Lepisosteus oculatus: one gene and its partners. The protein of the gene in region 1 purifies or fractionates together with the protein of each later gene. This does not show direct contact. Links are inferred from orthologs where the notes say so. Each region holds a gene or a part of one and is shown in the gene's direction. Other genes may lie near its edges.

What was found.
Region 2: the proteins of bach1b (region 1) and mafgb purify together in Homo sapiens (affinity purification with mass spectrometry; 5 studies listed by BioGRID and IntAct, counting the BioPlex papers as one, with this or other methods). This does not show direct contact. The link is inferred for Lepisosteus oculatus from reciprocal best matches to the Homo sapiens genes BACH1 and MAFG.
Region 3: the proteins of bach1b (region 1) and fam83d purify together in Homo sapiens (co-immunoprecipitation; 3 studies listed by BioGRID and IntAct, counting the BioPlex papers as one, with this or other methods). This does not show direct contact. The link is inferred for Lepisosteus oculatus from reciprocal best matches to the Homo sapiens genes BACH1 and FAM83D.
Region 4: the proteins of bach1b (region 1) and mafk purify together in Homo sapiens (affinity purification with mass spectrometry; 6 studies listed by BioGRID and IntAct, counting the BioPlex papers as one, with this or other methods). This does not show direct contact. The link is inferred for Lepisosteus oculatus from reciprocal best matches to the Homo sapiens genes BACH1 and MAFK.

Annotation. Positions count from the first base shown.
Region 1 is NC_090700.1:19,450,434-19,458,365, forward strand, and holds the start of bach1b (transcription regulator protein BACH1b), read left to right. Parts: upstream 1-4,932; 5' UTR 4,933-5,060; intron 5,061-7,842; 5' UTR 7,843-7,854; coding exon 7,855-7,932. UniProt on the Homo sapiens protein: Transcriptional regulator that acts as a repressor or activator, depending on the context. Binds to NF-E2 DNA binding sites. Plays important roles in coordinating transcription activation and repression by MAFK.
Region 2 is NC_090704.1:40,951,738-40,958,727, reverse strand, and holds the start of mafgb (v-maf avian musculoaponeurotic fibrosarcoma oncogene homolog Gb), read left to right. Parts: upstream 1-3,982; 5' UTR 3,983-4,520; coding exon 4,521-4,697; intron 4,698-5,110; exon of another isoform or gene 5,111-5,208; intron 5,209-6,990. UniProt on the Homo sapiens protein: Since they lack a putative transactivation domain, the small Mafs behave as transcriptional repressors when they dimerize among themselves.
Region 3 is NC_090711.1:6,762,326-6,770,010, reverse strand, and holds the start of fam83d (protein FAM83D), read left to right. Parts: upstream 1-4,671; 5' UTR 4,672-4,905; coding exon 4,906-5,466; intron 5,467-7,685. Other genes in the region: rab5if (GEL complex subunit OPTI), read left to right, coding at 1-102, 924-1,027, 1,330-1,459, 2,420-2,461.
Region 4 is NC_090714.1:1,285,892-1,293,443, forward strand, and holds the start of mafk (transcription factor MafK), read left to right. Parts: upstream 1-4,532; 5' UTR 4,533-4,690; coding exon 4,691-4,709; intron 4,710-7,552. UniProt on the Homo sapiens protein: Since they lack a putative transactivation domain, the small Mafs behave as transcriptional repressors when they dimerize among themselves.

The DNA of each region.
Region 1 (7,932 bases):
AAGGGCTTCACGACAGCACCTGATCTGGGTATCTGGACTTATTTTGCTTTAGGTAAGTAGGGAGGTGTTCAGACCCAAGCTGGATGTCCTGTTCTCTGACACATGCCAGTACTTTATGGGATGTTAAGAAACTTTTTTAGATCTTATTCAATTGGTCACATTCCCCTCAGAGAGGTCAGCTTCCAACAACTGGAGGATCTGGACATGCCTCATAAATATAGATTGAGCACTGTGGACATTTTAACAGAAGCCCAAACAAGAAAAGTGTGGAAACACACATCCACTGCATTTTAGTGTGACATTCACAAAAACTTAGACTGGAGCGCACAAACCTTCTTGTACCACCAGCTCCCAGCCCTCACTGTGTTGGAATGGCCTGTTGTGAGGAAGAGACTTTGACCACTCTCTTGTGGTTTTCTATGTTGCTAAGGCTTTCTGGGCCCAGTTTATAGGCCTTTTTGCCTAGCTTTTCCTTACCTCTGCTTTCATCATGCTTGGCATCTCTCCTGTCAAACTACCCCCCAACATCTTTGACAGGTTTTGGGCTATAGTAAACAGTGAAAAAGACACCCCCTGGGAAGTGAGGAATATGGGGGTGTCAAAAGGCATCGAAGTTCCAATCAAAGGAGTGGGTAGTCTGGCGCTATCCATTATTAAAGATAACTATTACTTCTGAGAGGAAGGAGGAAACAGAAAATCTGTGTAAAATAGAGGAAGTAGGATTGCATCTCAAAACTCTGTAATAATGAAAAGAAGAAGCATGCAAGGAAAAATGTAATTTCTCATTAAAAAAACACCAGCAAATGTTCTTCAGAAGATGATGTATGATATACGATCTAATTTACCTGAGCAAATATACTTTTCTTTTGGCTTTGTAATCTTCTCTGAACGTGTGCATATATACTGTTTTAGCTATTTAATATTGTCAAGTTTCTTCTTTGTGTTATTCTGTATCTATTTGTGAAAGGAAATAAAAGTTCTTAAAAATCAAAATCCAGTATGTTTTTGGACTTTGGGAGGAAACCAGATCACTGGGAGGAAACCTACACAAACATGGGGAGAACATGCATACTCCACCCAGATAGTACCCAAGGTCTAGAATTGAACCCAGGGTCCCAGCGCCGCAAGCCTGCGAGGCAGCAATAACAAATGTGCCAGTCGGGTTTAACCTAAATAAAATCATAAAATATCCACAACAGCTGGTAGAAAATGGCAGGGTCTGGTATTCATTTTAAAATCTCAATGTAATGACTTAATTGATTTAAGTGAGCTCACTATTTGGATAGGATCAGACAGTCAACCTACTTGTAAGATCACCAGTGAACTGATGCTTCGTTGGGTTTCATTTGCTAAACGTTATCTAAAAGTACAATCTTCAAGACTCAGGTCCTTGAGGACAGGGTTCCTATTCTCTGACAGTCATTACAATGTTAATTCCAAATGTACGGTCAACTGACTGATTCCTATGACTCCTGGCAGAGCTTTCTCTTTAGGGCTGTCTTGGTATCAGTTTGCTGAGGTGCACTTACTGTATCCTCAAGGAATTATGTTGTTGATAACATCTGACATTTTAAGACAAATAAATTGTGGTGCTCTGCACAAACATCTTAAAATGAACATTTCTGTTTATTTTAGTGATGTTTACACTATTCAGCGTTGCTCAGTTTTAATGTTATGACATATTTATATACTCAGTTGTACACAAGCCTCCATTCATTCACTATCTAAGCTACTGGATGGAGTGTACACACCACACACTATTACTAAGACCAGCTGAGAGCCAACCTATTATATGAATGGGGTGTAGTTGGACTGCAGATAGTTCAAGTTCCATGAGACCTCCTGTTCAACCTTTTCTTACTGGTCTCAAAGGACCATATGATTACTCAATAGGGATTCCTGATATCACTATATACTTTTACATTAATTTTAATTTAGAGATTATTTAAGTTCAAATGCCTTGTTTTTAATCTTGTGTTGTTGTTTTTTTAATTATCCTTTATACAAGCAGAAGAGTACAATGCTGTCAATTTCATACTTTCAATGATTGTTACACTATGAAATGAGGAGCTTAGTGTATTGAACTGAAGAATTCTTTTTTTAAAATCACAGAAAAGGAAACATACTTGCTTTGTTTCCTCTGTACTAATAATTCTTCCTGATATTTGAGAGACAAATGAACAGTTGATCTGTTTCTGTCCTTACCCCTGTGACTGTGTTATGTGTAATGTACTGTACAAAATGTAACACTTTTGCCCAAAACATCGACTTACTTTTACACAATCCGGGAAAATTTATTTCACAATTCAGCCAATAACTCCGAAACAACCATCAGCTGATCGTGGTTTCTCCAGGAAGCTGCATGGATGACAGCATTGGCGGTGACCTTCAGTTTGGGCACTGCCCCTTAAGGAGAACATCTGCTTGATAAATATGGATATAGGTTCAATCAAAAATTACAATCACACATCGCAAATATAAAAGCACAAGATGTATCCTGCAAGAGGAATGCTATTTTACTATTTATTAACTTAGGCTTAACTTGGCTAATGATTTTATCCAAAACAACTTACATTTGTATCCATTTATATAACTGTATATTTTCTTAGAGCAAATATGGGGGAGGTACCTTGCTCAATGTTACTACTGCAGCGTCTCATCTGAAGTTTGTACCCACATACCTCCAGTTAAAAGTCCAGAACCCTAACTACTGCTCTATCCTGCTTCCAATGTTAATAAAAAAGTATAAAAAGATACAGAAATTAATGTTGTTGCCTGCGCAAACTATGAAATTAAATTTGACCAGGACATGAAATACTGGGAACCTCACAGTGGCGCACTGTGCATTGCTGCCTCACAACACTGGGGACTTGGGCTCAATTTCTGGGGTGCTGTCTGTGTAGTTTGAATTTTCTCTCAGTGTTTTCTTCTGTTTTCGTCAAGTTCCAGTTTCCTCCTACAGTCCAAAGACATACTAGTAGGCTAATTTCCTTTTGGGAAAATAGGCCATGATGTGAGTATGACTATGTTTGTGTCTGTGTGTGTTCTTTGACAGCCAGGCAACCCATCCAGGGTGTATCCTTGTGTCCACTGCTTGCTGGAATAGGCTCTGACTTCCCCACAACCCTGTGCTGGATAAAATGGTTACAAAATGAATGCATGACAACACCACAAGATCTCTGTAAGATCTTTTTAACACATTAGTTTAAAGACAAGAGCCTAGGACATTAACAGTCCCAGCAAATAAAAAAATACACATCTCCCAGAACTACAGCTTTTTCAAAACAGAAGTCAAATGTGTAAGCAGCAAAACTGTAAAGGAATCTCCTAGGAATGTCTTCTACAGTTTTGCTTTTCTAAGGCAATCAACTTAATAACCACTCTTGTCTTTAGTCTCATAATCACAAAGCATGGTTTTCTGCGACAAAATTAGTTCTTAGAGTCTATCTTAAAACCAAGCGAACCAAGAAAACAGATAAAACACTAGATGCTGCTGCTTTTAACATCTGTAGTACCTCAAAAGCAGTATTGCCTAAAGTTCAAGATAATAAGAATTATCTTGAAATGTCTAGCAAAATGTTCACAGAAAAATAACTTACATTTCTGCGTGGACACACCTCGATATATCTCATAGATAGCTGGTTGAGCAGGTCCTTTCAAACAATCGCTCCTTGTATACAAAAAAATCTCATTTTTTATTTTATTGTGAACAACTGTAAGTCACTTTTCTGATAGATAATCAAAAATAAGTAAAATCTGTCATAGTTCACAAAATGTTAGAGCATAAAACACTATTGGAAGAATGAGTAGGTACAATTCAACACAAAACACAAATTTAATGCACATAAAGCAAAAAGACAAAGTTACATTCAAATGAACACTTTAAGGTCAATGTAGAGTGAAATTAGCATTTTTTTTCTTTCAAACCCACATTATATCACATCTGTCAACGTCCGCCTCCATTTATAACTTTCAAATTCAGTTAGAATGTGCCAAATTATTGGAAGCCAGAGATTCTTAATAACACTTATTTGTCACAGTCAAGTTACTTTTAATCTCACCTAATGTACAACTGGATCTTCAAATCAGACTATTAATTGGCTCCTTATATCTGCACCCATTCAGTACAAAACTCTTGTTCTTAGTTGCTCCTACCTCCAAGACATTTTTTAAATGCTGGATTATTCGTCTCTTTTCATTCATTTCTAACGTCGTCCTTCCCTTCATTCTTCTGACTCTAAAATTGTTTCTCACATTTCTAAGCGGAGGTTGCTGCCCTAATCAACCCAATGGCCTTCCTAAGAACCAACAATGAAGCAAAACTAGAGGACACGTGATAATCAAGAATAAACATTTAAGACAAAAAAGAACTAAAAGTTTTAACAGTGTGGTTGTAGTCTAGTACCTTTCTACATGGTTTTGACCAGGAACATTTAGAAATAGAAGATTTTGAATTTTATAAAACTTGCAAGTCTCAGAAAGGTTTTAGTTTATAGCGTTTTTAAAAACGTTTATAATTACTGACACACGTTTAATACCCGAAATACCTGTACGGAGGTTGTTCCTAAGGTGCTTTGAATACGATGTGTTTAAACCCCCGAGTCCATGTTTAGGTAGTATTTTTATTATCATGCATTACTTTAATTTTTTCGTGTTCTCACTCAGTGCAAAGCACTTTTGATTTCTGTCGCTCTGCGACCGTCCCTTGATAGGAAACTGATCGTGCCAGCCTTCTCTGAAAATGTAAAGAAAAAAAAAGGACTCTGAAAGTAAACCCACAAAGCCACCCAGTTGAAGCTTATCAGTGCCTGAAACCGGAAGTGAGGGTTTATAAAAATACACGAAGCTGGCAGCCATTTCGGCCAATAGCAGGAAAGAGCTGCACGTTAGAGGGCGGGACGAGGACGCCCTGGGTTAAAGTCACATGATCGCAGCCCGAGCGAAGGGCTTGCAGTCAGGCAGGGTTCTAATGGGGCTAGGTAGTAGGAGGATGTTTACTGCCACAGCACGGGGCTCCTTGGTAAAAGTCCGAATCGATTCTTGCTGAGGAGATGTGACAGGTTAGTAAGACTCTTTTGGCATTCTCTCGCATGTCAGGGTTAATGTAAACAGGGATCGAAGCGCTCGGTGCCACGGAGTGTCTTGCGATGTGTTGTGGTGGTACGGAGGAACTTTGCAGTTGTCGGGCTGGGAGGGGGCATTTGGGAGAATCCCAGCCTTTAAAGTTTCGGTAGGCCCAGCAAATGTCACGGTGAAATCTGTAGCTGTGCACGCCAAGATGTGTATTTGGTAAGGCTAATTTGGATTTTGTCGTGAGTGACAAGCTAAATTTGTGTCTTTTCCTGCAGTGGTAGTTTATGGTTGTTAAGAAATTCCTTACTCGGGCAAAGAGGATGATAGTAGTAGAGACTTATTACGGTAGGAACACATGTGATATTTAGCTGGTGCCATTACTATTCGTTACAAAATGACCTGTGTGTTTCGTGCTAACTGGACATCTACGAGAAATCATTTAAACAAAACAAAAACGTGGACGATCGTAGTGGTCTGTTTGGTCTGTGGTTAGTAAAGTCTGCCATCTCAGGATAACTATCTTCCTGTTTATTTCACGTCCCACTTTTCTTGTGTAACAGGGTTTCATCATCGAGAGGGGGATCAGAGTGTACACACTGATACAGCATGGCTAACCGTGGCATCTTAAACTATTCGCCTCAGCTAACGTTTCTGGATTACAGAAACCCGAAAATATACGGTGAAGGGTGTCGTGTGCCAAGCAGTTTAAACAAATCCGGGATTCGCGTTGGGATGCGGGGAAAAATACTTTGTTTCTCTCTTACAAGTCACGATTTAGAGTATCTTCTTCCGCACGAGTTCAGTTGGAGAATATGATGTGGCATTACATATCTGGAAAGACGTTACGCAAACCATAGATAAAATACGGGTTGTATAAAAGCAAACAGAGCAGGTTTCTCTTCCTCTTTTTCAAACCGCTTAAAAAAATAATATCCAAGGAAATATACATGAGCTGCAAGAAAAAGGCTACCATGAAATACGAAAACGCGAAGCTTGGGGCTGAAGGGCTAGCCTTTCTAGACACTGTGTAGATTATTATTTTAGTACCTGCACCGTTCACCAGATGACATGATGCATATTTTAACAGTGGAAACCAGTCTCCGACATTTGTTTACATGCTCAAAAAAAGAAAAATACATCACCCTTTTCAGATACCTTCATCATACACTTAGCAGTTACAGCGACTAGACTACTATTGTCTCGTAATAATATATCAACGAATGCTGCCTCGGTTAGGTAACGAAGTTGTTTGCGGGAACTAATGAACGGAGAAGCAGGAAAATGCTTGTTCATCCTTTATCAGCAGAAGCGAGTGAGTCAGCACGCTGTTGCTTAACCACACTGCATGACTTGACATCGCTCAGCTGTAGTTGCGCCAAGCTGCAACCTGCTTCATTTAATGAAGCGTTGATCTTATTTTAGGTTTTAAATCGCATTGGCTTAGTAGTAGATATGCATATTATTTTAAATGATTTATACTAGGTCTTACGTTGTTTTAAAGTTGTAAATATTTTTTTTCTCATCTATTTTTGAAATATCAAAATTCACACATCCACCCATTTTTTTTACCACTTCATCAAATTCAGGTTCAAGGGGGAGACGGAGCCTATCCTGACAAGGAGTATGCACACCCTAGCCGGGACTCCAGTCCATTACAGGACATGTATACTCATTCCCATAAGCCAGTTAACCTGCCAGTATCTTTTCGGACTATGGGAGGAAACCAGATCATCCAGAGGAAACCCACACAACATACAAACTGTTCAGATAGCACCCCTGGTCCGGAACTGAATCCAGGGCCCCAGCGCCGTGAGGCACTAGTCCAAAACACTATGCCCATAATTCACACATTTGCTTTCACGCATAGAACAACACTGACCTCCTTGATAAGATGGAATACAGACGTGCAGATGTTTTCTTTCACACTGTATAATACAATCAAATCTACCAAAACTGAGCCACAGAAAGATGTGTATCAGAGATGAAATACAAAACCTTTCTAGTTGCAAGTCTTGAGGTCTGCCTGTCATGACTGCATCTCAGACTGATACAGGATCTGTCTGCCTCAGGAACAGCTAGACAGACTGGCTTCTCAAAGTCTGGTGTAGATTAAGGGAAGGCAGTTGGATCTGTAGAATTTTACATTTACACTCTGATGTGTGGCTCTGGAAGTATTTTATGGTTTTGTGTTGTATTGTGTACATGGAGGTGACGCTGTAATTGGGCAAAGCTGAATAGTTTTTTATAGTAGTGGCAAGTCCTCTGAAAGCAAGCAGTGTAACACACTAGCTGGCATAAATCCTTTAACTCTGAACTAAATCATCCAAACTGACTGCAGTGACTGCTTGTAGTTGTGGTCTTTTTTTGGAAGGTACAACACCTGATCCATTTTCAGATTAGTTATATTTTTTCTGAAGTGGGCAGTGACAGCTTCCGCATTATTCCTTGAGTAAGGGAGGTGATTGAACCCTAGGGTCACAGACACACCTCCAGAGGCTTGGTGCTGGCAGTTGAAATGAGCTCCATACCTCCACTACACCCATGAACCGGGTGCAGGGGACAGCCTTGAAAGACCTGGCATTTTCTTTTGAGATACTTGTTGCATTTTAGCACCCACAAAGAGCAAATCCAATTGAATGCGTAGTGCACCCATGTAGAAATCTCCAACGTTTGATAGCCGCACTTCAAAAAAACCTTTCACTACAACATTGTGCAACTCAGACAGAATTTTGAAGTTTGACTGCGACAATGTTTTGCATTTTCTTGCAGTTGTACCGCACAATGACTTTCGAGAGCATAAGGACGTCGACCTTCAGTTACCAGTCCTCGATACACAGCTCGCACGTCCTTCTGTGCCTT
Region 2 (6,990 bases), on another chromosome or scaffold:
ATAATTCTTTTCAATTTATTTGGGGGTGCACAGCTGTACATAGTATCCTCTCATCTCCCTGTTTGTCAATAAAAATGTGTTCACACACATAGATAAAACGTGAAGCCTCCCTTGCACGTCACTAGCAAGCACACTTCACAATTCTGAGTATCACTTATGTCTAGATAAAGAGAAGTGGAATAGAATGGGAGATATGAGACACTTCTGTAAAAAGAAAAGGTTTTTACCTGAAAATGGCACTGTGCCCTGTAAATATCAAAAGCTGACAAGCTCTGGGATTTGTGCTCATTTTCTTTCCTAACAAGTCACACTCTTAAGTAGGCTTCAGTGCTTTCCGTTTGTTTGTGCTTGAGGATTTTTGTTACAGTCACAGCAAGGCAATGAAGTCTTGGCGTAATCCCTCTTTTATTCAAAAGGTTATACTCCACTGCCTCGCAGCACTCTCCAGCTAGATAAGTCGGCCTGAAATACCTTTTCATTTGCTTCTCATTATGCCTGTCGATGTTGCCAGGCTTTTGTGAGCTTCCTTTGATTCGGAGGAAGAAGAAGAAGAGGCGTGTGTGAGCAGTGCCAGCAACTTTGATATGATCTCTCAAAGGAACTGCCACGGAGGATAGCCACTAGAGGGTGCCAGTACATATTGCCTCACACTATTTATAAAGGACGTTGGTTTTTTGAAATGCCACAAAAGAGAAATAAAAATGATCCGAATGCAGAAAGAACATAATTTTTTTTTCTGTAGTTGCGTGATTCTGAAGTTACTGAGTTTATTCAGTGTTTCTTGTTTTTGTCCTTAAAAACATCTAAATATCCACTTATTTCTTAGTTTTGTGGCTTATTTGGTGCAGCCTGTGTTCCACAGTTGCTTTAGAACCTATTATCGGAGGAATCTACCACTTTGTGATATCTTACATAGCTAAAAGTGCATGCTCTCTTTGTTGTATTTGGGACCTGGAATTTTGAACAGATACATAATAGTTTTTTCCTCATTAACAGTATACAGTTGCTGTGTCTTTGCTTCCAGCAAGTTAAGACAATGCTTTATTCCATTGTGAGCTGAGCAACTGACCTACATGTATCTAAATGTAACCAGATGTGAGCACATTGTACAGTATGCTTACATCTCACTCATTGCCACAACAGGTTGTAGAAATGCTCTGACATGGTTTGGATATCTAAAATATAAACCATTCAAAATACACATGATGTGAAATAATCACAAGCGCCAGACATCTTCACTAATGTCACTCGTGTTTGAAACGTGAAATTTCAATTTTAGCTCCCCAGGTTCATTGTCAGGCTTGATTATGTTCAAATGGGCCAAGTCTGACATCTGGTGGAAAAAAACATACCTTTTACTTTGTGCAAGGAACAGAAAAAATAAGCTTACAGTCAGAGATTCTGTATACTTCACTGACACACTGTTTTAGGTATGTCTCTGTGAGTTACGCAGTTGAAATATGTGTTTCAAAAAACCAGCTTAGAGATCAAATCAACACTTGATACTAACAGCAATTTTGCTCTTGCTTTGGCACAGACTTCTCGGAAACTCTCATGTTAACATGTTCTCCATTACATTACATTTAGCAATGAATTTGGGTTTTTGCAACCTCACATTTATCAATGAAAATGTTGAAATATTTTTGGTCAGTGCAGAAGGCAACATCGTGTCCAATCCGACCGGGGACTTGTCTAATCAGACTTTTGCTGGAGTTCTGGCAGGAGCGCACTGCAGACAGCGCCTGACCTTTCGGCAAGGCCACGCTGCAGAAGCTCTAAATTTAAATTAGCAGAAATAATAAATGAGAAGAGGCAGCCCATTCGATCCACTATCGTGCAGATGCAGCTGGGCTGTGTGAGGAAGAAGGTCTAGCTTGGTTTTACGACCAGTAAAAACCATTTCCCTCCAGCGACAGTGAATCATCACTTTCGCTTCCCCCTGCTGTCTCCTGTGCTGTAACGGTTTCGTGGACGGCGGAGCGGACTCCAGAGGGCTCCCGGTTGATGCTCTCTGCCGTGGAATACATTAGTGGGCGATCAATACAGATCTATTAAAATCAGTCGTGGTCAATGCACTCGGGTATACTGTTCCTGTAAGTGGGCCACCATTTCATCAAAACGCAGGATTGACATGCAGCGGTTTTTAAACACGTTGGACAAGCAGCTTGGATCGCACACTGGCCAGCTCTTGTGATATGATTGTGGCAGATTGGAGTAGTGGTTGGGCCTCTAGGTTTTCAACTGGTGGTAGATTCCAGTTCTGGGGGGGGAGAGACACTGTTCTTGTTAACCTTGAGCAATGCACTCAGTCTGCTGCAGTAAAGCACCCAAGTAAACTTAAAGACTTAAATGAACGAACCCAGGAATCTTGGAGCTTAACACGATCAGTAGGTGAAGTCCGTCACTCCGATATAAACTCAAATTGTCTGAGCTGTTTTTAAGAAAAAAAACTGCAGAATGGGCCTCCTTTGCAGGAAAGCATTCCACGAAAAAAAAACCCCCAAACAATTGACATTTCTAACACGAGGCTGGTGTTACCGTTATTAAAGACATATTAAACACTGAATGTGTTAACATTAATCTGTTTCAACATATGTTAAACATTAATCTGCTTTTTGTCATTCTACAGAGAACATTTGCATGCACACCGTCAGCAAGTTCTTGAAATATCAATATAAGGCATACAAGCATGTAAATAAGCAGTTTTTCAGGTGAAGTGTGTAAATGTCTTTAAATTAAAGGAACAAGGAACACATTAGCCATTTAGATTGAAAACGTGAAGAGGGTGAATATTTCCCCCATTTTCTCTCGCCCTTAGTTTTAAAAGATAAAGTTGGTTAAGGCAGCAAAAAATACTACTGTTCTTGACTCCAGTGAGGTTTGGACACATAGTGTATTGTGGAGTACACGCCGGATTTTAACAATCAGAACTGAGCGACAGGCCTGCATCGATTCAGACGCGCTTTCTCGTTCTCAACGAGGCTGTGCTTTGTAGGGGGTGATGGTCGCAGTTTGTACAGATTGAATGAATTGGGTCAGGCGCTTGTAGGACCGGTGGTTGCGAGGAAGAAGATTGAGTTTCACTGAACCCGGCGTCTGGGGAGAATAAAATGTAATTGCAGCTTTGTATTGTAAAGGCGAACGGTCCCCCAAATGATCCCTAAATTTAAGTCATTGCATTGAAGCCTACATCCACTCCTGCCGCCCTCCCCCTCCAACAAAACTAGTTAAGAGAAGAATGAGGATATTATACAAGTCATCTGCTTTCGCTTTGTGTGTGGACCCAAAGAGAAATGTGTGTCGTAGTTCACTTTTTTAAAGACAGATATTATATCCTACGATAAATTTTCTAGATTGCCCGGATTTACGTGTCTCGAACCTATTAAAAGCAGAGAGGTCACGCAGACTTTAACATTAAACTGCCCTGCCTACGTGTACATTGTGCAAGTGATTTGCCAGTGTATGCGCAGCTCCGCAAAATGAAAACCACATGTGATAACAGACATGATTGTGAAATGTTTTTTTTAAGAAAACAAATTGTTGCGCTTGACAGTGGTCCAGAAATCACACACACACAAAAAAAGGTGGGAAGGGTAGGACATGCACGGCCTCCATTGAAAGATAAAAAGGGCAATTTGTTTTGATAGACTGACGAGAACATGCGCCGGCATTCCCGAACAGGGATCCGAGATCCCGGCGCCTCGGAACGGCAGCCTATTGTTCTGCGCTTGCCTCTTTAAGACATTCCTGGGAAGTGCTGTAATGTTTCTGCTTATGGTGCGCAGATCCCATCAAACCACAGAGCCGAAAAAGGAGCTCAGGTTCCGACAGTCCTCTTCGAAAATGCTTTGCAGGTGGGCTGTCCCGTTTCGAGCCCCCCTGTTCGGCAGAGCCGCGTTCACATCTGCCCCCGGCCAACCACTGGCTCGCTGGACACACTTCTGTTGCGTTTCCCACTGTTACACTTGCGAGAGAAGAGCCCCCCCCCACCAGCGGCGTTTAGTACCCCGCTAAAACTGGCGGAATGTTAAATATTTTGTTTTGCCATTTGCTGCGCATTTCTCTTCAGACTTTCCCTTGCGTACTGCTCTGAGGAATGCTTTACTCCGGAAAGTCACCACATCGCACGTACTGCGCAGTGTCTTGTAACGCACATCAGGATAACGGTCAGTTATAATCTGGGAACAATGTAACTTTTAAAAGATAAACTTTCTTGAGGCTACCCCACCTATACATATATATTTGCTTTTTCGACCTGTCTTACTATATGTAAAAAAAAAAGCGGCGCAGGGTGATTCCAAATTCGCCAAAACACACCAGCTTGTCTCGAAAGCCACAGCTGCTAGTTAGTCCGTTGTTTTGTTTTTGTTTTTGTTTTTTTGGAGGGGGGATACGGGTTTGGGGAGCCGGCTGTCCCTTTAAAGAGCGAGTTTCGGGAGGTGTGGAAGAATGTGCTTTTTGGAAAATATGTGGCCTCGGTCCCTTTAAGCCTTTTTGCCAGTTGCGTAGATCCTTCATGAATGAAACCACGTGACCAAACATCATATGACGTCTGGCTCCGGCACAAGAGAAAGGGATCAACAAGGAGAAGGCGAGGGAGTAAATTTTACAAATTACCCAGAAATAGAGGCGCCTCACTTCCAAATACTCCGATATCAGACCTCCGGCGGTGGGGAAGAGGGTCTCCCTTGAGTTTGGTGAGTCCGATGGCGGGTTTACTTCGATCGCGGACGGCACATTTGAAAGAGATGTGTTATTTTGCTGAGTGTGCACGCCTTTGCTTTGCCTGTAGATCTGTGGTGTGTGCATGTCGATGTGTGTGTGTGTGAGAGAGAGTGCATTAAAGGGCCAGACATGCTGATTCATCACGATTGGGTCATTAGGCATGCACGGCGAGTGCGGTCAGAACCGTGCAGGCACAGGGTTTTTAACAAAAGGATAAGGTGGTTGTAAAATCTCGGTTTTACCGGGGAGTCCCCTTGGTCTGGGACCTCGCTGGGCGAGAGCTGGCGCCGAGCCCCTGTCAGTCACACTGGCAGACAGCGGCGTGGAGCGTGTTGCCGAGAAATGTGTAATGCATCTGAGCTGGACAAACCTGCTGTTTCATCAGAACGGGGGCCGTGCTGAAAAACGGGCGAAAGCCGGGGCGACGGCGCTGTGGTAAGGCGGAGAGAGAGGTCAGGCTGGCCGGCTTTCTGGGAAGGTAAGGTGAGCTCAGCATCGGCTGCCGTAGCGTCGCCTGGTGCCGCTGGCCGCCGAGACGAGTCGGCTCGCAGCGCCAACTCGTTCTGCCCGTCTCGAAAAATGTGATTCTTGCGAGCAGAAAGCGCTCCTTCAGTTAAGGGGGGGAAAAAAATGTCTTCGCTACAGTAAAAGGTGTATCGCTTCATTGTATCGGGGTGATCAAGAACAAACGTTTCACTAACAAAGAAATTGTTGTAATCTTACACCGTGGATGAGAATTTGAGAGAACGGTGTAGGTCGGAGCCCGTGTTTCAAGTCGTCTTCTCACACCGTGTGACCGTTATCTTATTATTATTATTATTTTTTAAAACTATAAAAATACTAAAGGCTTGTTTTCGATTTCGAAATCGGCTCAGAAAGTACCGTATGTGCTGATTCATCACAACGTTGAATTTTGAGGCTGAGCAGGCGGCACTGGACAGGCACTGCTGACATGGACCTGCGGACAGAGGTCTGGGCTCGGCGATAAGGATCGGTGATTTTTATTTGCTGCCGGTTTAGGGAGATGTGCGACGATGCCACAGGGCCAGCAGACGGGTCCGAAAGGGGCCATGTTAATCCCGAAACCCGCAGGGCCGTCACGACCACGAAATGAACAATAAACTTCTTGGTGGTATTTGGATTTTTTTCCCCACTTCAGGTCGAACTGTTGTGGGGTTGTGCTGTAAATCACAAAAGGGCAATGCATGTATCTGTGTGGTGTTATGTAAAACACACACACACACTTTCCTTTTCTCCGTATGAGAATATTTCCTGCTTCTTATTTTGAAGTCACTCAGCGGTGAACCTTAATGAGAAGTGAAACAGGTTACGCTTGCTGTTAGTAGATCGGTGTGGTACGTCTCCTTTTTTTTTAGATGGCCAGCTTGTGACTCAGGTCAGAGAATCGGATGAATTTTGACTGATTTCCATCATGGCCGAAGTGTTCCTCGATTATTGTGCTGGATTGTGGTTTCTATGCCTTACCCCAACACCTGGGAGAATTGTTGAATAGCTGAGCATATCCAGTGGGAGGCATTTTTACCTGTCCCGTTATGACTGTCAATGTCAGAAAGCCTTGTCAGAAACACTAGATGTTTGACTAAAGTTCACAGTTTAGGATAACGCCTTTCTCTTTAAAGGTGGCACTCAAACTGTTTTTAACGGTTTTGATCTGTAAAGCTGTTGCGAAATGGATGTTGTGCTTTATATGAGAAAGGCTTTGCTAGTTATTTTCAGCAGGTGATAACAGTCAGAAGTGGGCGAATCACAATCGATTTCCCAGACAAATATTTTGAAGTATGGCTGAAGGATGAAATGTGCCTTTACTGTCACTGGATGCAATGCTGAATTTGCTGTGATCTGGTCATTCTTCGCTTTTTTCCCCCCCAATACGGGACGGCGGAGTAAATGAACACCTTTTTGTCTTTCCGCACAGAAAGTTTGAGATGTAAAAATCTGGGGAGTCTGGATTGCCAAGTGGCTAAAAGTCTGTGTTTAGTGGAGGCATAGGCTGATATTTATGACATCGAGCGTCTCACAATCTTATCTAGATGCAGTCAGAAGCTCCAGACACCCTCATACTAGAGGATTATACCAGACCTCTGTGGGAGTGTAGTGCTGTCTATTAAAGTCAATACTGGTGGTCTGTAATTACTGTTTTTGGCCTTGTTCTACTTCAAATCAGTGTGTTTACAAGCTGTCTCTAGGTCTGTCTTGGAACACCAGGGAACAATCACTCCAAAAATAGTCATTCCTTATGTGTGC
Region 3 (7,685 bases), on another chromosome or scaffold:
AGCAGTGCAAGAAGGAAAGAAGAAGTTCATCTCGCCAATGGGGGGATAAAGCAGTCTGCATGGAGTAAAGCTTTCAAGAGCAACGCCGTGTGGGAGGAAAAGGTTTGGTTTATTGGGGATCGGTGGTGCGTAGGTTTCTGTGGTGCGGTGCTTCGGATAACTTTTAGTTTTCAAATGTTTTCAGTGGCTCAGGATCTGAAAGGGTTAGGGTTGACTGGTGTCAGTCGTGCCCACGTCCGACTGGAGTTGATCTTCAAATAAGAGCAGGACCGTGGTTTTCCATAGCTCTTTTTTTCCTGTAGTAATTTCTGTAACGTGTAAAACACGCATTTAGAAGAAAATTGTTTAAATATTTGCAGATACGTAAGCGTATTATCAGAAAGTAAGACGGCATCATTTTTTACAGAGTAGGATAGTGACACCTCCAGTAAAGTAGTCAGTGTTCCCATATCGTGAGCCCTAATATGGTCGCCTTGTTACCAACACAATCAATCATGTGAAACAGTTCCCAATCTGTCGTTAACGATGGACGATATCATTTGGCACAATAAGCTACATGGTTCATTTAATGACGTTTCTTTCATTTTTACTCTAAGTCGTACCTTTCCTTGGTGGTGAGGTGATCTGTTTTCAGAAGCAGGAATATATTTATACTTGGCTTTGCACTATCCCGTTATTATTTCAAAATTGAAACATGTTCTAAAATCATATTTTCTTAAGAACACATTTGGCCTGTTTTGGAATCATCCCAAGATGATTGTTTCCTGGGATGACAGTTTGTTCCCTTTCCTAGGTTAACCATCCCTGTAGTGTACGTGTTTGAGTTCAAAGTGTTCATGTGTGCGATACCTTTATCTGTTGAAGAGCATGCAAACCACTTATTTTACTGAAAATTAATCTTTTTTTCCCTTCCTTTTTTGCAGGATGAATTTTTAGATGTGATTTACTGGTTTCGGCAGATCATTGCAGTGATTTTAGGGGTCATTTGGGGAATTGCACCTCTAAAAGGATTTTTGGGTATCGCAATGTGAGTCACAACTTTGCAACCTGGTCTGTACCTAGTTTCTCATTCACACCTTTCTGTTCTTTCCTTACCTGTATCAGCTCTGCATATAGTGCATTTGTCTCCCTTTTAAAAATGCAAACTGTTTTACAAACCAGTCCTGAAAAAGTCAAGCAACAACAACAATGTAAAGTTAAACACGTGGCTTCGAAGGAATTCCTTTACATGTAGTGGCTGCTTATGTTCAGGGCATTGTTTTTGGAAGGGCAAATAAAAGGTGTATTCATCCATATCAGTTACATTTGTGCTTATTGTTGTGTTCTCAGATTCTGCATCATCAATGCTGGACTCCTTTATATCTACTTCAGCAGCTTTCAACAGATTGACGAAGAAGAGTATGGAGGAACATGGGAACTAACTAAAGAGGGCTTCATGACCTCGTTCGCACTCTTCCTGGTATTTAAAACTCTGATATCCTGTGTTTCAAAATTGAAGGAGCAAAAATGTTATAATTCCAAGAGGGTTATTCTGTTGAAATGCACAATTAGGCACTGGTGTATATCTCCTCTCCTTAATGCAGACCTACAGATTGAATTATCCGGACCTGGATAGCTTAGTTCATTAAACGTTTATGTAATGTGAGTGACAGAACACATCAGTAATATCCATCAATGTCTTGTTTTTTATGACAAATCTGCATAGCTGGATATACTAAACTGATAGTCTTTTAAAAAAAGTGTTAATAGTTATTATTAACGATATCAAGGTAAAACCTAACTGGCCAATTTAAAATAATTAAGCTTACATTGAATTAAAAAGGGCCTGGAGCAGATATGGGACACCAGCACCAGCACCTGAAAGTGCAACCCCAAACCCTGCTGAGCTGGAGTACTGGTCAAGGAAATTACAAGTCCAGAATCATCCGTGTCCAGATGTTTTGAATCATATTACAAAATTCTTAACACCGTGCAACACTGTCGCTTGACAGAGCGTATAAAATAATAAATTATGGAAGGGGTAACTGAATGGGTCACGAATGTTAAGCCACTATGTTAAACTGTGCATATAAATTGATATAATCGAGTCAGGAATAGCTACAGACATGCAATTATTTTTAATGGTATCCTACTGAAATTATATATTGTGGCTGTTTCATGTGCTGGTATGAGACTGATTTGATTTGTTTTTTTTATTATTTAATCATTTAATGTTCAAATAATACATTATTTACTTAGATCTGTATATAGCTGAGTCGCAGTGTTGCAGTAAGATGCTTCCAGTTTGCATGAATACAGGCTGGTTAATTCTGCAGGAATATGCTTTCTCCATAATTAAACGAGCAAAACAAGTACTGAACTTATACATAAATGTATGGTGAAAAGGTGATTAGGTAATTCTTTCCCATTCATATTGCAGGTTGTTTGGATCATATTCTACACAGCTATACACTATGATTGAAGAAACACGAATCTCTTTTGCGGAAAGACAAGATGGAACATCTTAGTTCATGTGAAACGTAATAAGAACTTTGAAGTCCAAGGTGTTTTTTTACCAATATAACACATGATCATTCAGGAGGGAGTGGATTATGAGTATTTGACAATGGCCTTCACAGGCTGAGATTGTGCAGCAGGTTTTTTAAGCTAACACTTTACATCCTGAACATTTTCCAAAAAGCCATGGATTAATTTTTTTATATAAACAAATAGCATTGTATCAAACACAGTTGTAGTTGTTTTATATAATGCTTTCCTCAAGTAGCTCCTTGATCAAATCGGATGTCCATAGATTTTAATTTAAACGAGTCTGTAAAATATCTGTACAATTTTCATCTTAACAAAAGAAAATGTATTAAACTGATTTGTTTGTATATTGTTATTTTGTTGTTTAATTTGCAGAACTTGACCAAAGGTATTCTGATGCTATTCTAAACCGTTTGGTTAATGTGGGCATAGAAGCAGACACTTTATTACACAATATATACTGGAGGCAGGATCACTCTAGTTGGGGAGATTCAGGTGTAAAATGTTTTTTTAAGGTTGAAATAATCCCCTTTGGAATTGTGTTAAACCATGTGTTGTTGTTTCAAACACTCAGATACAAATGTAAGGGGCTTCCAAGAGTCTTAGTCAGTAAAGGTGCCCCTATAGACTGCTGGTTGAGCCCGGAGGCCCTAGCATTGCAAGTTGAAGCTTGGATCATGTCCCCATCAGCACAATTGCCAGGACATGGAAAGGACTGAGTGGGGTTGAGTCAGCCAAGGTCCCCTTGGCATTAGTGACACCTGCAGGCATTGGGGGATATGTGCACTGTTTCTCCAGTTGGTACTTGTTCTCTTGTCCAGTGTTGTCATTCCATAAATTTTAGAAAAATAAATGTTGGAATTTGTAGATCAATGTAGAGTTATTAAAAGTCAGGATCCTGTAAAATGGAGTAGGCTTTTTTTTTAATTGCAAATGTGCTTCCTAGGTTTGGATTTCCCCATTTCTGAGGCAGAAAAAAAAACGAACTTTATTTCTTGTTTAAGCTGACACTACTACTCTTGTTCATATCACATAAGTAAGAAATAATTGCAGTATTTTGTCCGGCTGCCAAATATTTGTGGACATCACGTTGGTTTTATGATATCAATGTTATCTTTGTGTGGAAATGCAGAAAAGTTGATGAACATTGATGAATATTTTTCTTAGAGCTGTATTTAGCTTTTATACATGGTACCTACTGTTCATCTGAAATCATTGTCGTGTTAAGAAATTTGCTTGTCCGTGTCCTCAGTTAATGCTGGTGTTGTTCTATGCTGGTGGAGGGCTTCTGGTCCTGGAGACTGAGATGTAAACAAGTCCATGCATTTTAAAGCCGTAGACCACTGATAGTCATGCACGATCCTGCAGAGCCACCATCCAGCAGGTTTTATTCATGCTTCTAATCATCGATGAGTAAATTGACCTCTTTTCCAAGTGTCTAAATTCTGACATGTTTTGTTTTGTCCTTCAGTGCCTCTTGAAACTTCACTCATTTAGAATTTATTTTCAAGAGATATTTTTAGTGGGTTAAGGTTTGTCTTTATAAATGAAAAATTTGGATCTGCATGCATACCGACAACTGTATTGAAGAAGCATTTGATTTTTAAGAAACTGAAACATTTAATTATGCAAACCAAACCCGTTTTTTTAGACGCATCAGTGACTGCCGCAGCCGAACTGCTTGAGGGAATCTTCAATTTTCCTTAAATTAAACAGTTCTTCTGTTGACAAAACGCTGCTTAATAGTACAACGCATTTTCTGAAATACTATTATTAATTTAGGTAATAATTGTTCATATCTGTTCATACACAAACCTAATTCGACAGCATACTTTGCTCAAAGCAATTTCTCTGCTGGATAAAAAGCTGTTTAGCAGCTTTTTGTATATCAGGAAAACTCCATTCTGATAGTACTTTTATATAGGTTTTCTTAGGATGTTTTGTAAGTGACTTGGTGAACGTCATTTCACTAGCTATACCCAAATAAAAATATACTGCTATTTATACACAAATTTAAAAACACAAATCATTTAAATGGTAACAAATTATGCAGCGAGAAACACAAGATACCGGAACAAGGAAGGAGATTTACAGATAGAATAGTTTGTAGGCAGCGCTGCCTCAGGCTCTATTTAATGTTAAAAATTAAACATTAAACAGAAGGTCGCCTTGTCTCGACAGGTAACCGGCAATGATACTCCTTTGCAGTATTCTTCGGCCGATGTTGTTTGCCTACAAATTCAAACCGTGAGCCAATGATCATCACCCATTCCCGGCGGGAGGCAGTCTTATGTGCCTGTGTAAAGTTGGTGGAACCGGTTTTGCGGCTTTCGCTCAGCCAATGCCGGCTGCCGTGGGCTGGGTTTGTTCGAGTTTAAAATGCCAGATAAAAAAAAAAGTCATGATCTCAGAAAACTGGTAACGCGCGATACTGTGCTGAGCGTAGGGTTCAGAGTTAGCATGGCATTGTCTCAGTGCCTCGACGATTTTCCCATCCCGGGCCCGACCCGGTGCAGGAATAACCTGAGTCCCCAGGAATTGTACAGCGAAGCGCACAGACTGGCTTTGGAAGAGCTGATCTCTGGGGGCAAAGAGTCCTATGTGGAATTTTTAAAGAAAGAGAAGATACCCAATTTCCTTTCCAGCGATGAAATCAGACTGATTATGGACTCGGCTGTGCACCCTAAAAACGTCTCTCTGAGCGGAGAGGATGCGGGCATGGAGCAGTCCGTGAGCAGCTCGATGGACTGCTCCTCTGTCACCTACTTTCCCGAGGTCTCGGACGTAGAGCCGCCGCTCTTGGAAATAGGCTGGCCGGCCTTCACCGCCGGCTCATTCCGAGGAGTCACTCGGGCTGTAGCTCACTTTCAGCCCAGCTATGGTGAATGCATCTATAGTTGCAAGGAGGCTGCTAGGCGAATGATAAGAAGCGCAAAAGAGGTAACAATTTAACACCCACATTGGCTTAAGTGGTACTGTTACTAATCTCAGTCGTGGTCGCTATGACACTGTCAGCGTTAGTTCCGGTTTCTATCTGCAGTAAAACGTTTACCAAAGGAGCGTGGAAGATTTTAAAGGAGTGAGAAGTCAAGACGGCGTCTTCTGTGATCGCGGCCGGTTGTGGTCGGTCGAAAATGCTATTTTGAGTTTATGGGCCAGGGCAAGGCGCAACAGTAAATGTGAATTAAAAGTTTCGCACGAATGTGACCTCATGCACAACAGACGTGCAGTCTAAAGTATACAGATACGCGACACCCCCACAAATAATACTGTAACCGGTTTTGAACTTCGCTTACAATTTACAAATATTGCATTGTAAAATGTCATTTTTGACCTTGCTGTATACTATCCGGATCGATATAACAGCGGAGGTCAAGGAGGATAACCCACACCCTAGCACTCACCTAGAAATGTACGTTAAATATTCTGTTACAGCTCACAGAATACCTGTAGTCACTGGAGGAACAAATCTCGTTAAGACGCATGAGCAGTGGAAAATTTAAATCCTTTCTCACTTGATGAGCCGCAGCAATTTTATCTGTGCGTTGTTTGAAGTGATAATACTACATTATCGTCGCGATATATTTTTCATAAATCACGCAGGTGATGTGCTTAAGAGTTGGCCTGTACTTCAATTAGTGCCGGGTTACAAGCATCTCGATTATGGTGATGGGAGAAGAGGCCTTAACAGCATGGGTCAATAAAGCGCATTTAAAGTCATTGATTTTAAGAACAGACAGCGGGACATTGAAATTTGTACTGATGACACCCAGCGTTCCCTGTAGAATAATCCCGCGGAATCAGGCACAACAATGATTGTCAACACGTTCTGATTATTTTGATTTGACCTTTTTTGCTTTTGATTGTATTTTTAAGGAATATGGTATTACCAGTGGAGTTGTTGTCCAGAAACCTAGACAGTGTGCTTTTTACCATTCTTATAACCATGGAACATGATTATACGATTTTAACAATCCTATATACCAGTCAATACATGATCTTTCAGATGTCTCCATAGGTAAAAACCACACGTGTTCTGCTTAGATGATATAGCTATTTGGGAGCCAGCTTGAAAAAAAACCCCAGTTTCTACACTTCTGTGCTGAAGTATTGGTAAATTGCCAGCAACAAACTCTTGAGAAGCTTTATTTGTACTGATACACCAGCATTCCTATTTTTTCCCACCTTTTATTCATTCTATTCGATTCTCGTTGTTAAAATTTGTGGAAAAAATATTCCTAAAAAGTTTCAGTGCTATTAAGTTGTGTGCACAAAACAACCATGCGGTAGGTGAGTGACATATTTAAAGGACTTTCATTGCTCACACTCTTTGTATAACGTTTTAAGATGTAAATGCAAGGGTTTATAAAAAGTGGGACTAAAAAAATGACAGGAAGGGAGTATAGACATGTTTGAACATATTTGTGCCATGCCTCATGTTCACTGCCATATGAATCACAATTGCTTATCAGACAGAATGTGTTCCCATCACTCTGGACACCTGGATTGTCAATTACCAGCCCAGGGCACTGTAACATGAAAAGCCCACAGTGTCTTAGGCAGTTATAGTCAAGGCCGTCGTTCATACATGGATGATTTGTATTTCACTATTATTTTAGGACAAGTCAGAAATTGCAGCACTTTCACATTTGGAATTTGTAGGAGTTGTCTTTTGCTGTCTATTGTCGATTATGCATTCTTTTCCCTCTTTTCTCTGGAATGTACAGTAAGTGAACAAATTTCCAGAAGGGTATAAAATATTAACACTAGTAGACTGGAAATTCCTGTAGAAGTTATTTGCTAAGAGTAAAATGTTCCAACATGCTGAACACTCCCCAGAAATGATAGCGATTTTTTTTTTCCCACTTGCAAATATGTTTAGTCTACACATACTATGGACAGGACACTACTTGCAGGTGCTTTACTAGTAAATTAAAAATGTCACAACTAGAAGACTAGATGGAAGTCTGCCTTTCAATGTGATTTGTCTGTGCCGAGATTCACATCTAAACATTTTCAGAATATAAAAGAAGACAGAGGGAAGTTTCAGGTTTGTGTAAAATATTTTAAGTATTGGTATTTGGTATTTTATATTTGACTAAATTGTACTCCAGCTCTGTAAGCAAGTTGAGGCATGGAGGCTATATTGATGCACAGAA
Region 4 (7,552 bases), on another chromosome or scaffold:
AGACACCCCGCAGGGTTTATAAGGGCTACAGTCGGTGGAGGTTATCAGAAACCCTCTTCAGGTTTGTTAGACAGTGTTTGTAAAAAGCACAACTGCCTGTCAGCTGGTGAACAGAGGTTTCGCGATTGTGACATCCCAATATTCTTCCCTTTAAAGTGGATGTAAACTTGTTTTACATAAACAGATATAAGAAGGGTTGAAAGCTGTTAAAAGCCCATTAACTGCAAAATAGAGTTTGGGCATTGACCTTTTACCCACCCTCTTTTGACAGTCACAAAGATCTGGGGCTTGAGGTTTAGGGGCAATGTACTGTTTGTTGGTAATCGTAGACTTACGAAATGAGTGTTTTATCCAACAACATATGGAGTACGGAGCTATAGCAGATTGCATCAAAGCTATGCCAGCCACAGGCTCACACTCCTGCCACCCCATGCCCCGGGCTGCTGTGGGTCCGGACAATGAAAGACATTGAGGGCAGCAGAACGGTTGCGGAATGATGGAGACTTTTTTGTAGAATAAGTAAACATCCGCAAAGTTGCAAAACTAGAAATTGACAAATTCTAGCAACTTCCAACAGACTTCAGTCTCCTCTCCACTATTCTTCTTTAAGGCTTCTTAGAACCTTCTGACCTATGACCTTCTCACATCTGCCTGTTCTGGTTTGTTTGCTGCTAATAGTTGATCAAATTAATTCACTTTATTATTCAATTCGACATGATAAAATGTCCTTTATGGATCAAGGGGTTCGACATTTTGCATAAGGGCAAATATTCTGAAACTGCATCTTCAGTGCTCCTGTCTATTTCTGGCTTTTTTTTTATTTGTAAGATATATAATGATAGATATATTAATTATTGAGACACGCTGCCTTTGACATGTGGGTGTTCATTCCCATGGAGTAACTCCAGCACCCTATAATTTACAGCGCCAAGAATGTTATTTAGAATACCTAAATTGTAAACAAAGTAAATTAATTTCTTGAAGTTCCCTAAATGCGAGGCATGTTTCTTCTGTCACTGCTGTGTTCCTCACCTGCTGGTGACTGGTGCTCTACAGACAAGGTCCTGGCGACTATACAGACTCTAAGACTAGACTCCGTTAAAACACAGAACTAAGGGCAAAACAGGACACAAGTCTGGCCCAATCAGTGGTCTGCACTGGCCACTTCTAACTTGACAAACACTGATGAAATGGGGAGATATCAGGGACCTGAGGGAAAGGAAATGTTAAAGAAAAGCAGGGCACAGTATTGGCAAAATAAGCTCACAAAACAAGCTTCATTTGGTGGCATATCTATTTTTACCTTGTTCCATTATTTCAGGATTCATTTCTCTCGTCTTTGCCCTTTTGAGCAAGCCAGTCCTCTTCAGCACAATTTACTGGATCACCGTGAGTCACTGACACAGCAATCCAGTTCAATTAAGTCACTTCCTAAAACGGCTTCGCTTGTTTTCCCCCATTTCATATCTTAAATGGATGTGATGAGTTTAAACGGTCAATCTGTTCAAGCACGAAAATCAAATATAACATCGTTTATAAATGGTTAACAGTTGCTGATCCATTTCAAACGTCTCCAAAACAACACGTGGAATTAAACCGCACCATATTTTCTTGGCTCACTGGTGCGCTACAGAAAGAAAATCAGCAAATAACAGGGGCTCTACATTTTGCATAACAGCAAATACTCTGAAGTAATTCTGTAACTGCATCTTTAGCGCTCCGGGCTATTTCTGGCTTCCACTAGTTTCCCGCCTGGATGACGTCAGTGCAAAGTTATTTTCATGAATGGAGGGGGCGGTCACGAGGAATCGGTGACGTAAGCGCTTGCGGAAGCAGCGAGTGGAATGTTGATACATTGTTGTTGTTTTGTAGCCGATCGGGAGTTCTGAGACGGCTCGGGCCGAGCGCTGGCAGGTCTGTCCCGGTGGAACCAACCCCAGCTCGTCCGCGGACACCGCGAGGCGTCCCTGCGCGATCCCGACACACACGGTCCGCGCTCACAAGGTGAGGGGACGGGAGGGGGGGGGGCGACATGTTTTGAAATTCCTCTTTAAGTCGCTTCTGTTTACATGGTGACGGACTTGCGCTCCGGCGGAGAGCCGATGAGGGGTCCTGGTGCGTCTTCGGCAAAACGGGACCGAATCTTCCCAATTAAGCATCCTTTCGGTAGCAAACGCTGGGTGAAGTAACGAAATGTGTGTGTATTTCTTAAAGATTGGGATAACATTTCATACTCTAGTGGTGACTCACCAGTGAGTTTGAACACGTGTTAGCAACAAGGCGAGTTCAGTATTAATTCCTAAAGCTAAATGTTGCAAGTGAGTATATCTGCTGTTTGAAACAATCTGATATTCTATACTTTATAAATAGCCTACTGACTGTATTTAGCTCCAAAAGTATTTTTAAATAATAGCTAATAATACGCATGGGGGTTTGCAGTCTACTGGAACACCAGATTATAATATAGCCCACACGGTCGGAGATACTAGTGGGCTGTGAAGGTGTTGCGAGACCGATGCCCGTGCGGTCGCGAGAGAAGAGCACGTGCGCCCGTGCGGAGCGGCTGCTGGCACAAAGGGCAGGGCGGCGCGCGCCGTGGGTCCGGTTACGGATTCGGCTGGGGGGGGGTGCGTGGGTTCGAGTGCAGGATTTTCTCCCCCGTGAACTAAGTGTGGGACAAGAGCGAGTGGACGGGGGCTCTACTGGAGAGGATCCGCGCCCGGAGCTCGCTGCGCGTTTTCTGGCTTGTTCTGTTACGCATGAGCCTACGGTCCCAGAAAAAGAAACGCAGCTCAGTGATTAATCTTTTGCCGTTCAGTTCATAATTTGTTCCGATCTCCCAGTCATTTTCCTGACAGCTAGCCTCCCTTCTCAGCCCGGTCACCGATGAAGATGATAACGATGATGCATGTGCTGTAACTTTGAAACGCCCCGATCACAGATCATTCCGACGCACTTGGATGCTTCACGGACGGAGCTGTCAGACACATTAAGCTTCACAGTGTAGAATCGAAGTAGTTTCACCTTGGCGACAGATGAGTAAACGCGTTTTTATACGAATCCGAATATGAGCTTTTTTTTTTTATTAACGAATGAAAATGATTTCAGACCTGTTGCTGGTCATTTTTAAAGACGTCCCCCACCCCCCTACAGAGATGATGGGACGACGCAGACTGAGCGTGTGCGGTGTCTGAATTTGAAAGCCCGACAACTTCAGGTTCAAGCCCAGATCGTGCCATTCCTGGGGGAGACAGCGTTCAGCAAAGGAACCTGTCGGATCAGCCACATATTGGAGCGACTCCAGCCACGCGAAGATTTGATAACCTTGAGATGGGCGTCGTGTATATGAAATAACAGAGCTTTAAATTCTTTGTAAAATTTCCAACGTCACCTTGCAACTATTTTGTTTATGGTTATATCGTAAAACGAAGCTACTCTGTAATTTCCCCCCATTTTCTTTAGAGATTTAATACTTAAATGCCGATCCTACTTTGCCGATAGCGGGGACAAGGCGAATAACACCCAGAGTTACCGCAGACCACAGTACCTGGAGCAGTGTTCAGTGTGAGAAGGGTCTGTAGCTTCGGGAGTATTGCAGTTTGAGGGGGGTTTACTGGATAATCAAAGCTTCCTCTGAAGCTGAAAGCGCAAATAATAAAACCATTAAAATATCTTCACCTGCCCTGGAAGTAAAGACATTTAAAAATCAGTCTTTCACATGAGTATTTCGAAGACGACCATGCCCGTGGCCGTTCTGCTTGCTAATGGGGAATCCCACGCATGTGCGCCCAAGAATAGGCTGTTCTTGCTATGCAGTCCAGTACTGAGCTTCTCTATACCAGTGCGAGGGGTTACACCCTGCTGTTTAGGAAAGGTGAGTCATAACTGGTTATTGTGAATCACTTCCACTTTGGCAGATAACAGATCTGACTTTGGTTATTCCTTAAAAAAAAGTAAAGACGCCACGTTCTCTAAAAATACATCACCTCATACCCTTAACCTGTTAGTAATTAAGGATAGGTGCCGAGGTTGAGCTCTTTGGTGCCGTCGGCAGAAAGATCTAACGAGCAAGGAAGGCTCAGCAGGATAGTCAAGATCAGATTAACGTTAGCGGGAGCTTGGGAGCCATCGGAACTGTGCGCACACCTTTGAAAGAAGATGTGCCAGTTTCTGGTGCATTTTGGAATTAATTTTAATTTGACCTTATCCTGCCTACAAGAATGTGAATTGGCCCTTTCTGCTGACAAGGCTGTGTTTAGGTGAGCGGTCCTGGGATTTTGCAGTCCTTCTGATCCTACAAATAGGGAATAAATAAGAATCGGACACAGACAGCAGTTGGTGAATTCAACTTGTTTGGTGAGAGAGATCGGAATACCTCTACGTAACGTAGTCCAGTCTGGTTTGTTTGTGGGGCGGTCATCGATGAGCTCCTGTGATAACCCGTCTTGATTCCTCTGCCTGGCACTTGCATACTGTGCAGTAAAGGGTAGGGTTAGAAAATGAGATATGGCTCTGAGCCTTGTTAATGATCGATTTAGGGGAACTGCTGTCTGTGAGGGTAGTATGACGAAATCTTGAGTGATTATGGAGGAGGAAAATGGAACAGACTGTTCATTTCCAGGCAAAGAAGCAACATCTACAAGCCTGACAAAGATGGCCTGAAGGTGGCCAGGTCCTCCTCCTATTCAAGATGGATCAAAAGGAGTCAGGTTGGGACCCTCTGCTCATTTAATTGTGTACTAATGATCCATGCCATCATTCATCAAGAAAAGGGCTAGTGTTATTTAAAAATATACTTAAATAATTGATTGTATAATCTCTTAATCTGAGAACTGCCGAAGAGCAGTCTCCACCCAGGGGAGGTTCATGTGTAACATCATGTCTCTGGATCCATTAGAGACTCAATTATGGCTATGTTGTAAGCTGTAAAAAAAAAAGTACATATAGAATTAATGTTGGCTGTGGCCAGGACTGAAATGTGGCTCGGTAGCATCAGTCTCTGTTTCTTGGATACATTATAAATGACCAGTCAGATATCTTTAAAATACCATTTGGAATACAGACACATCTGTTCTTAAACGCAGAGGGCGCTCTGATTATTAACCCCTTGTTTAATTGGATGGAATTCTATATGAACTGGAATCCAGGCAGGAGGAGTATCTTTCTGCCAGTCTTGTATCTCTCGGAGTGGGAAGATGGAAGTGGTTTTAAAAGAGAGTGCTGGAAGAAACAAAGCCTTGGATTTTCAGCATCAATGTTGAAATTCAGCGGGCACAAATCAAAACATCTTTTGGCAAAGTTAATTTTGTTTAGATGCTCAAATCATTTTATGACGGAGTGTTTTTGCGATGGAAAAATGACTGAGGAGTATTTTCAAGTTAAGGTTGCGTACAATATCTCTGGCTTGAAGTCATCTTGTTAAATGGCCTTTGCAGTCCTTAGTAGTTGTACAGCAAACATTTGGCACGTGACCACAGTTTCCCAAAGAAAAAAACAACTTTTAAATACATTTATGCAAGCTCCATCTATTTTGCTAAAGCACATTGTTTTAAGTTACAGTTGTGCATGATTTGCAAGTATGCCAGAGCATTTGTCTAGAGAGCTACCTTCAAGCAAACTGCTACTTGAAAGCATCAGCAGAAAGTTTTACACCACTTCTTCTCTGATCTCCATTTCTCTGGCCACTTACATGAGCACCAGTCAGGACACAGAGTGTTCCATTGGTGTCTCTCAGAGACAATGGTGTGGATTGTGCTTCCCAAGACCGGGCAGGCTAGTATGATTTCAAATTACAGCTTGGAACTCAGTCCGTTTCAAAACTGCAAGCAATAAAGCTCCTATCGAAGGAGCCGCGTGGGTATTATCTAAACTCTTTTCCTAGGGTAACCGTTTTGAATTTTATTTCAAATCTGGCCCTTGGCCAGGTTTTTTTTTCATACAGCGAAGCCGTTTGACAACTCCCCTAACGTGGGTGTTGAAGTCATCACCTGAGGTATATCGGCTGGGATACCCTCCTGCTGAAAATGCATTGACTTCTAACCACTTCGGAATTCCACAGGAATACTGTTATGTTGTGTAGTAGTCTAATATTGTGTAGAAAGAACAAGATGAACCTTTTCTATAACTATCTGCCTGTGGGTCTGTTGTGTTTACTGTATATTTCCTTAATGTTTCTCACAAGAAACTGACATTAAACCACAGTTTTTTCCATTTCAAGCTCCATTAAACACAGTATTTTAATGCCCCTTAAATAGAAAATTCAGGGCCAAACAGACTTTTTAGAGATCAGCTTCAGGAAGTATATATACGTATGCAGGTCCCAAGACAAAAGTGTGAATTAAGAAGAGATTACACTTTTATACAGGTCATAATGAAACTCCAGTGTGAGGTGAAAGCACAGCTTTGGTTAACAGAGAAACTCGTAATAAGCATATGTAGCAGTCTTGTGGTTTGACGGGGATTGAAAAACTCATAGTGATTCGGAAAGGACAGTTGTTAAGCGCTAGATGGAAACAAAAAGCACAAAATATTGAAGACAGAATAGCTGTAATTTTCATGATAACTTCCTACTGGTGTAGCTGTTATTGTGTTCATCCAGTCCATTTATAACTTCAGGTTTTACAGTTCTGTGATGTCGTATTGTAGCTCAAGAAAGCCAATGTAATTACTTCTCAGCATTCACATTTTTAAAACTAAATTTGTCTAATTGTGTACTGGTACATAGATATTTTATTGGAATTCCACGGGAATGCTGCTGTGGTGTGTAGTCTAGTATTGTGTAGGATTAACAACTTTTCTGTAACCATCTGCCCGTGAATCTATTGAGAAATAACTATCTGAGAAAAATCCTAAATTTGTTCTTAAATAAAAAAATAACCACCCTGTTGAAATACATAACACAAACTATCATTAAATGTATTCACAATTTGTGCTTACTTTTTTTATTTACGATCTGTCCTTGTGTTTTGCATGTAAAAATAACGTTTGGTTTTGTTGACAGTGTCACGTTGCAACATGCCCTACCCAGTATTCTATATTATCTCGTAATTGCTCACAGTGGCGTGTGTAGACATCTATATTTGCATTGTGAATTTCCCTCCTGAGCCATTGATTTACTGGATTTGAGACCAGTTGCTTTACCACTTGTGGTCAGAGTGTAAAGCAGGATTTGTCATTGCGATTGGGCAACATGTGGTTAAGAATAAAAGAGCAAGTGGTATTTCTATGGAGAGCTAGGTGGCCCGTGTGCACTTTCTCAACAGTGCATTCCATGTTTGTCTCATTGTAAAATCTGGAATGTTTTCCTCATGGGTACATCGCATTCCTTTAAATTCCTGCATGTTCACTTGGAAAACAGACCTGCAGTGAGACTTTTTTTTTTCTACCTCTCTCCGTCTTGGAGTTCCAGTGGACCAGTCTCGCAGATTCCTGGACTTTTACTTCCGTCCGGTAACAAAACTGGATTTTTCAGGAAATGTCAGCTGCATGGGTGTGATTTCATGCCCCTGCCTTTTGCTCTTACCAGTAAACAGCATGATTCACATCTCAGCTA